2 linked regions of the Rattus norvegicus genome follow. The protein of the gene in region 2 interacts with the protein of the main gene of each other region in a biochemical or structural test. Links are inferred from orthologs where the notes say so. Each region holds a gene or a part of one and is shown on either strand. Other genes may lie near its edges.

Region 1 (3,912 bases), on a different chromosome or scaffold from region 2:
CTGTCCCAATGGTGGCCATGGCCTCCCAGGGAGCTCGGTGTGGCCACTGCATCACTTCACTTGGGAGGGGCGTTTAAGCAGAGGGCCGGGTAGGTCAGGCGGCAGCGCCACCGCCCGGGCCGTCGGAGGGGGTGCAGGCGGTGACACGCTCACGCGCGGTGGCCTGGCGGGGACGGCGGAGGCTGCCGGGTTCTTGGCCGCCGCAGGGCGCGCGACAGAGCTGGCGGAAGCAGCGCTTGAAGTTCTCGTCCAGGAAGGCGTAGAGAACCGGGTTGAGGCTGCTGTTGGCGTAGCCCAGCGCAATGCACAAGTGCAGCGCGGCCACCACAAGTGGGTCGCGCCGATTGATGTCCACCAGCGTCCAGACGATGACGAAGATGTGGATGGGCGCCCAGCACACCACGAAGGCTCCCACCACCACCAGCACCATGCGCGTGATGCGCCGCAGGCTGCGGTCCTTCTCCTTGGAGCCGGACAGCAGGCGCACGCTGCGCAGGCGCAGCAGCATGAGGCCATAGCACACGGTGATGATGAGAATGGGCACCACGAAGGCGAAGAGGAACACGCAGATCTTGGTCACAGTGTCCCAGTACCAGCTGGGGCTGGGGAACTGGAGCGTGCATACCACTGCTCCATCTGAGTCCGGGGAAACAAGGAAAAGACACGGGTCAGAGGTCTGTGTGCCTAAGGGGCGCCGTCTGCTTGCCCCCTTTCAAAATCACTAGCTGGGTCGAGGAGATTCTGAGGTCTAGTATGTCCTTTTACTTGGTGAATTCCTTCTTATGCTTAAAGACCCCAGAATTGATTATCTGGGAGGTCCCTTCTGTGTCCTCTCCCAGGTCCTATGTAAGCCCTTATGTCCATAACTAATACTTTGTCCAGGCCCAGGAATTGATCCAGTGGATTGAACAAGACTGAAGGTTGATTTAAACAGTGGGTTAGGGCTGGCGATATAATTCAGGTGCTAGAGTGTCCCTGGTTCAATTCCCAGCACCGCACTAACTTGGGCCTGGTGGCACGTGTGTCACCCGAGCACTTGGGAGACGGAGGTGAAGAGGAGCAGGAGTTCAAGGTCATCTCTGACTACATTAACTTCTAGGTTAGCCTGGGCTATAAGAGAGTTCAAGTCCCAGCAACCACATGGTGGCTCACAACCATCTGTAATGGGATCTGATGCCCTCTTCTGGTGTGTCTGAAGACAGCTACAGCGTACTTATATATAATAAATAAAATAAATTTAAAAAAAAAAGAAGAAGAGGAAGAGAAGGAAGTCTGACTCCATCCCAAGTATGTGTGGCCTTGGGCAAATTACTCACTGTCTTCAAATTTCCTTATGGTGGGGCTAATAGTCTATCCACATTCCTGTAGTTACATTTAGATTTATTTGTCCAGTGAGTGTCAGTGTGTGTGTGTGTGTGTGTGTGTGTGTGTGTGTGTGTGTATCATACATGTGAAAGTTAAAGGACAATACACAGTTGTTCATTCTTTCCTCCCACCGTTCCTGTTCCAGGGATCAAACTCAAGACTGTCAGGCTTGGTGGCAAGCACCTCTGAGCCATCTAGCCAGCCCTACCTGTCCCAAGGACATTTCTTAAGACAGCTGTGAAATAGACGCAAATATATAAGGTATGTAGGTCAGTGGGGCTCAAACAGTTGATGCACTCAGAGGAAATTGGAGCCCAGAGGTCAGTGCTAGGGCCTGCATCTCAGGCAGGTAACAGCGAATGTAAAGAACAACTTCATACCAGGTGACATAGCACACATCTATAAGCCCACCATTCAGGAGACTGAGGTAGGAGGCTCTCAAGTGTAAGACTAGACAAAATTACATGGAGACTATATCCAAGAGTAAACTAAAACATCAAAGCCCTTCCCAATAGCCAACCCTGTAGGAAAAGGAAGAGGAGCTTCCTGTCCTGGAGAACAGGCTTGGACTAGATGAGTATCTCAGAGGACCTGGCAGGTCTGATGCAGGCTGGAAGCTGCCCCAGGGATGCTCAAGATCTCCAGGAGATGCACAGTAGACTTGCAGCTTGCGAGTCATGAGAAAGGGGCTGGAGAGCCACAAAGCATCTAGGGTAGTTCATCCTGGGAGGACTCTGGGGATGATTGAGGATCAGTGTGCTTATGGGTGGTGGTGCCCAGAGAGGGAGGAGGGAGGAGGAAAGAGGAAGGAGGGAGGAGGGAGGAGGGAGGGAGGAGGGAAGAGGGAGGAGAGGGGGAGGGGGAGGGAGGAGGGAGGAGGGAGGAGAGGGGGAGGGGGAGGGAGGAGGGATGAGGGGGGAAAGAGGGAGGAGGGAGGAGAGGGGAAGGGGGAGGGAGGAGGGAGGAGAGGGGGAGGGGGAGGGAGGAGGGATGAGGGGGGAAAGAGGGAGGAGGGAGGAGAGGGGAAGGGGGAGGGAGGAGGAAGGAGGGAGGAGAGGGGGAGGGGGAGGGGGAGGGAGGAGGGAGGAGGGAGGAGGAGGCCCACTTGACTCAGCTCCCAACAGTTAATGACTCCTAAACCCAAGGCTGATGGTGAGCTATGGAGCCCGTTGCTCAGGCAAAACCAAACACTCAAAGGCTGTGTAATGGCCCCAGGGTTCTGCCCTTGAGGGTCAAGGTGTCTAAGAGGTCTCCTACCACCCAATCATCTCCCCCTTCCTTTCAAGCCTCTACAGACTTCTACCCAGGGGTCAAAAGGGAGGAGAGACCACCCCTAAGGGCAGGAGCCTTGGGTGGAAGGCCAAGTTCCAATGCCTGCTAGTGAGGCTTTCTTTCTGATAAGGTCTGGAGAGAGAGAAAGAGAGAGGGGGAGGGGAGTCCTCCCTTGTTTATGAGGTGGTGTGGCTCGCAGGTTGGTTACTATAGCATAGATACCCTCCCACACGTCTTTACATCAAGGTGGGGGCCATGGGAACAGTTGACACTGGGAAGGGATGAGCACTAACATTGAAAATGGTTATGATTTCCCCAACTTCTTTTTTTTAAAGATTTATTCATTTATTATATATAAGTACACTGTAGCTGTCTTCAGACACACCAGAAGAGGGCATCAGATCTCATTACAGATGGTTGTGAGCCACCATGTGGTTGCAGGGAATTGAACTCAGGACCTCTGGAAGAGCAGTCGGGTGCTCTTTAACCACTGACCCGTCTCTCCAGCCCCCAACTTCTTTTCTGTATTTATGTGCTGGCCAGATACCTCCTCTGGGAACCCGCTACCCCCAAACTATCCTCCTCCCCAATAGACTGTAGTGGAAGGAGACACAAACTTCTGTTTTAAGCCCCTGAACTTGAGGATGTTTGACATAGCAGCGTTAGTGACTAATAAAGATGCCCTGGGAAATGTTAATTGTTTGCCACTTCCCTCGGGCCATTTTCTGGGCCTCATTTTTTGGTCATTTAGCCAATGCTAATTTTTTCTCCTTATTTGTCTTTGTTTGTTTGTTTGTTTTAAAAGATGTATTTATTTTATGCATGTCACTGTCTTCAGACACACCAGAAGAGGGCATCAGATCTCACTACAGATGGTTGTGAGCCACCATGTGGTTGCTGGGAATTGAACTCAGGACCCCTGGAAGAGGAGTCAGTGCTCTTAACCACTGAGCCATGTTTCCAGCCCCCCCTTTTTTTGTTTTTGAGGCCTGGTTTCATGGCCTCGAACTCATTATCAAACTAAAGCCAGCCCTGAACTCCCAATCCCCTTGCCGGGCTTGTAGGTGTGCAGTACCACACCTGATTCATGAAGGGCTGGGGACGGGATCCCAGGGCTCTGTGCATGTGGGGTAAGCACTCTGCCAGCATAATTACATCCTCAGGAAGAGCAGTCAGTGCTCTTAACCACTGGACCATCTCTCCAGCCCCTCCAGTGGTTTTCAAAGTGGGATAAAGGGGAGTTTGGGATGGGTCTTCAGATCCTTCAGATCTGTT
Region 2 (3,912 bases):
AATTTGGTTAGAGCAAAATGAATGTGCCTTCTCAGTGGCTGGCTCTTGTACTACCCCTGAGTGTCACCAACCTCCAAGATCTGAGACAGTCGCCCTGAAGCCTTCTTTCCTTGCTTGCAGAAAAACCAGCCTTAGGGCAGACCTGTGGACAGACATGAAAATGTAATGCAATCAGAAAATGGTGGCAGCAGCTGTGGGCAAAGTAAGGGGACAGTAAAGACATCCTGCACCCTCTTGGGTTAGCGCAATCTGAATTTGTCTCCTCAGTGGCTGGCTCCTGCACTACCCCTGAGTCTCACCAACTTCCAGAGATCTGAGACAGTTGCCTTGAAACCTTCTTTCCTTGATTGAAGAACTGACCAGCCTTAAAGCAGACCTGTGGACAGACATGAAAATGTAAGGCAAGCAGAAAATGGTGGCAGTAGCTGTGGGCAAATTAAGGGGGCAGTAAAGACACCATGCACCCTCTTGGGTTAGCGCAATCTGAATTTGTCTCCTCAGTGGCTGGCTCCTGCACTACCCCTGAGTCTCACCAACCTCCAAGATCTGAGACAGTCACCCTGAAGCCTTTTTTTCTTGATTGAAGAACTGACCAGCCTTAAAGCAGACCTGTGGACAGACACGAAAATGTATGACAGTCAGAAAATGGTGGCAGCAGCTGTGGGCAAATTAAGGGGACAGTGATCTGAATTTGGTTAGAGCAAAACGAATGTGCCTTCTCAGTGGCTGGCTCCTGCACTACCCCTGAGTCTCACCAACTTCCAGAGATCTGAGACAGTCGCCTTGAAACCTTCTTTCCTTGATTGCAGAAAAACCAGCCTTAAAGCAGACCTGTGGACAGACATGAAAATGTATGACAATCAGAAAATGGTGGTAGCAGCTGTGGGCAAATTAAGGGGACAGTAAGGCAACATGCACCCCCTTGGGTTAGAGCAATTTGGATTTGCCTCCTCAGTGGCTGGCTCCTGCACTGCCCCTGAGTCTCACCAACCTCCAGAGATCTGAGACAGTCGCCTAGAAGCCTTCTTTCCTTGCTTGCAGCCTTAAAGCAGGGCTGTGGATAGACATGAAAATGTATGACAATCAGGAGATGATGGCAGCAGCTGATCTTGTTGAAAATGCCACCAAGGATCAGAACCAGATCAAGTGTCTTTTAGCATTTAGGGTCCTACTGCTGGAACATTCTGGATTTAGCCTGGCTGCAGGGTTCCTGAGGTAACACCCACTCCTTGATGTCATCCTTATTAGTCCCTTCTGCAATTCTGAAGACTCGCCACTAGGTGGCCATGTTTCCTTGCCTTGCGCAGCAAAAAATGGGGGAAGGGCGCAGTACATTCTAGAAAGCAGGTTCTGAAGTGGTCCTTGGATTTATGACTCCGTCATCATCCCCACCCCATCTTTTCAGACCCCAGATTTGGGAGGGAGGGGAAAGGCAGTGTAGAAGGTACCTGCAAGGCTGTGAGAAACGAGATTAGGAGACACTTATTCCCACCTGTTCTGGCCAGTCACCCCCACCCTTTTTGCATCTCCACTCACTGTCTGGTGCCCACTCCCATTACCACACACCTCCAGAAATCCACGCCATTTTCCTGTTCCTCTTTTCTCAAGCCTCTGGTGTACAGATGCTCACTCACTGTGGCCTGTCAGAATATGCCAGACCTACCGCGCAGACAGGACACTTTCCATCAAGCAGGATCCTGTGGGGAGTGACAGCACCCAGGGCGCAGGGCACCGGGGCCCCTCTCAGCAACTAGATCAGAGCCCTAGTAGCCAAGGCGACTCACAACCCAGCGCTGTCGCCAGTGCTGGACACCTGCCCCACACCCACACCTGTGGGCTTCATCCCCTCCCCCCCCCCACTCCAGCATGGCCGGCCATTTCTTTTGCAGCTGCCTTCCTGGGACCTGTGGGCTCCCTGATCTCCCTCCCCCCCACTCTCTCATCGTCATTTCAACAGCAGCTGCCTACCGTATAACCCTCACAGGGCCCAGACATTGTCGAGGGCGGGGTATTGGTGCCAGGAAAGTCAACTGCCAGGCGGTCGGCTATGCCAACCTCCAGACCATCACACCCAGCAGCTCCATCCTTCCCTTGTGCCCGGGTCTCTGCAGGGGTTCCCGCCTCCTTCTGCCCACCGCCTTGGGTCTACAGGCACAGCACACACTCCAGGGAGCAGCTGTGACCTGTTTGCCTCCACTGGACTGTCAGGGCCAGGCAGCTGTCCGCAATGCGCGACAGCCTGGAGCCCATGACACACCCCCACTTGCCTGGCCAGGGGCACAGCCCAGGTCCCCGGGCTCCCCCGCGTCCCTCTCCTGCTCCCGGCTGTTCTCTGTCCTCCGCAGATCCTTTCACTGGGCTTTCACTGCTTTGAGCGCGAGTGGAATGGCAGAGCTGTGTCCTGCCCCCACGCCTCTGCACCAAACGGGCAGGGGCTGCGCAGACTGCGGCAAGCACAGCTCTCCTGGAGGGTGTCGGGAAGGGGGCGGAGGGATACTGCGCACAGGGCTCGACGCCCCCTCCCGGACCCACTGTAGTTCCGACTCGGAGTGGGCGGGGCCACAGACAGTCCCACTCCTCTTGGAGGGGAGGGTTGTACCAGTGGGCGTCTGCAGACCCCTGTTCACCCTAACCAGAGACCACCACCACTTTTAAAAATATTTTTGGAGCCACACTCACAGTGTGTGAGATGGCTTAAATGTAGAGTGTATGAGGGCTTTGGAGAGGGGGGACTACAAGGAGGAGGAGGTCTGCAGTTGGGGAGCAGGAGGGAGCAGCGGATGGATACTGAGTGGGAACCTTCGTACATCTGTATTTCAGAACGAGGCTGGACAGTGCCTGCCCCTCCCTGTACTCCCTCTTTGCTTTCCCCCTCCTCTGCCTCCTCCTCTGACGCCAATGGAAGGGGAGGGGGGCTGCCAGTACTGCAGCCTGAGAGGGGACAGGTGACCTAGCAACAGCCATCCAGTAGGTTCCTGTTGATTCTCCCATGTTTTCTTTCACTGATTCATGCAACCATGAAGGGAGGGCACTTCTGTCTCCATGGAATCCAAAGTGGGGCCTCCATTACATCCCTCACCACTGCCCCTCTTCCATGAGGGAGACCAAACTACACCTTGTGGCCTAGTAAATCAACCACAGGTTTGGGCCAACAATCAATTCTTTGTGCCACAGAATGTGTGTGTGTGTGGGGGGGGTGTGGTGTGTGTATGGTAATGGTGGTGGTTGGGGTGTGTGTGCCTGCCCCCCCACCCCCCACCCCGTGTGTGTGTGTGTGTGTGTGTGTGTGTGTGTGTGTGTGTGAGAGAGAGAGAGAGAGAGAGAGAGAGAGAGAGAGAGAGAGAGAGATTGATTGATTCTAAGTAGCAATACCTTTCTGGGGGAAAAAAAAGAGTGGCATTAAGCACAAACTAAAAGCTGCTGGCATTGCCCATTTAGAGATTTATTTAAGCACCTACCCAGTGTTTCACAGAATAACAACCCATGATATGTAAAGATGTTATCTGGCCAAGGAATATTGAGATTTGAGGCGGAAGTGCAGGTTGTTAATAGTGGCATTCTGCATACAGTCATCCTGGATCCATCCAGTCATTGTGACTGCAAAGGTACTTAGGTATGACAGGCTGAGGCAGAAGAATGTGCATGTCAGGAAAGCAGCATTGGTAAAACAAAACCAAACCAGATTGGACACTGCTGGCCTCCAAGATGGAAAGAATCTAGGGCTCATGGAATGCAGGCAGTGTGAAGAAACTATACAAGATATTCTTCCTTAATAATCTCCAAAGGAAAGATCTGTTTGATTTCAGATAGGAAGACCTTTTTTTGCATCCAGTGGTGTGATATGAAGTTTGTCTCATTTTAAGTCACTAAACTTATAGCAATTGTGATAGCAGGAACAAAATACATATACCA

Evidence for each region.
Region 1: the proteins of Gprasp1 (region 2) and Oprd1 form a complex in vitro, tested with the Homo sapiens proteins (2 studies listed by BioGRID and IntAct). The link is inferred for Rattus norvegicus from reciprocal best matches to the Homo sapiens genes GPRASP1 and OPRD1.

Annotation. Positions count from the first base shown.
Region 1 is NC_086023.1:149,590,343-149,594,254, forward strand, and holds part of Oprd1 (delta-type opioid receptor), read right to left. Parts: intron 637-3,912; coding exon 95-636; 3' UTR 1-94. UniProt on the Homo sapiens protein: G-protein coupled receptor that functions as a receptor for endogenous enkephalins and for a subset of other opioids.
Region 2 is NC_086039.1:103,555,063-103,558,974, reverse strand, and holds the start of Gprasp1 (G-protein coupled receptor-associated sorting protein 1), read right to left. Parts: upstream 2,483-3,912; 5' UTR 2,268-2,482; intron 1,830-2,267; exon of another isoform or gene 1,567-1,829; intron 1,055-1,566; 5' UTR 992-1,054; exon of another isoform or gene 988-991; intron 832-987; 5' UTR 756-831; intron 610-755; 5' UTR 538-609; intron 377-537; 5' UTR 300-376; intron 143-299; 5' UTR 72-142; intron 1-71. UniProt on the Homo sapiens protein: Modulates lysosomal sorting and functional down-regulation of a variety of G-protein coupled receptors. Targets receptors for degradation in lysosomes via its interaction with BECN2.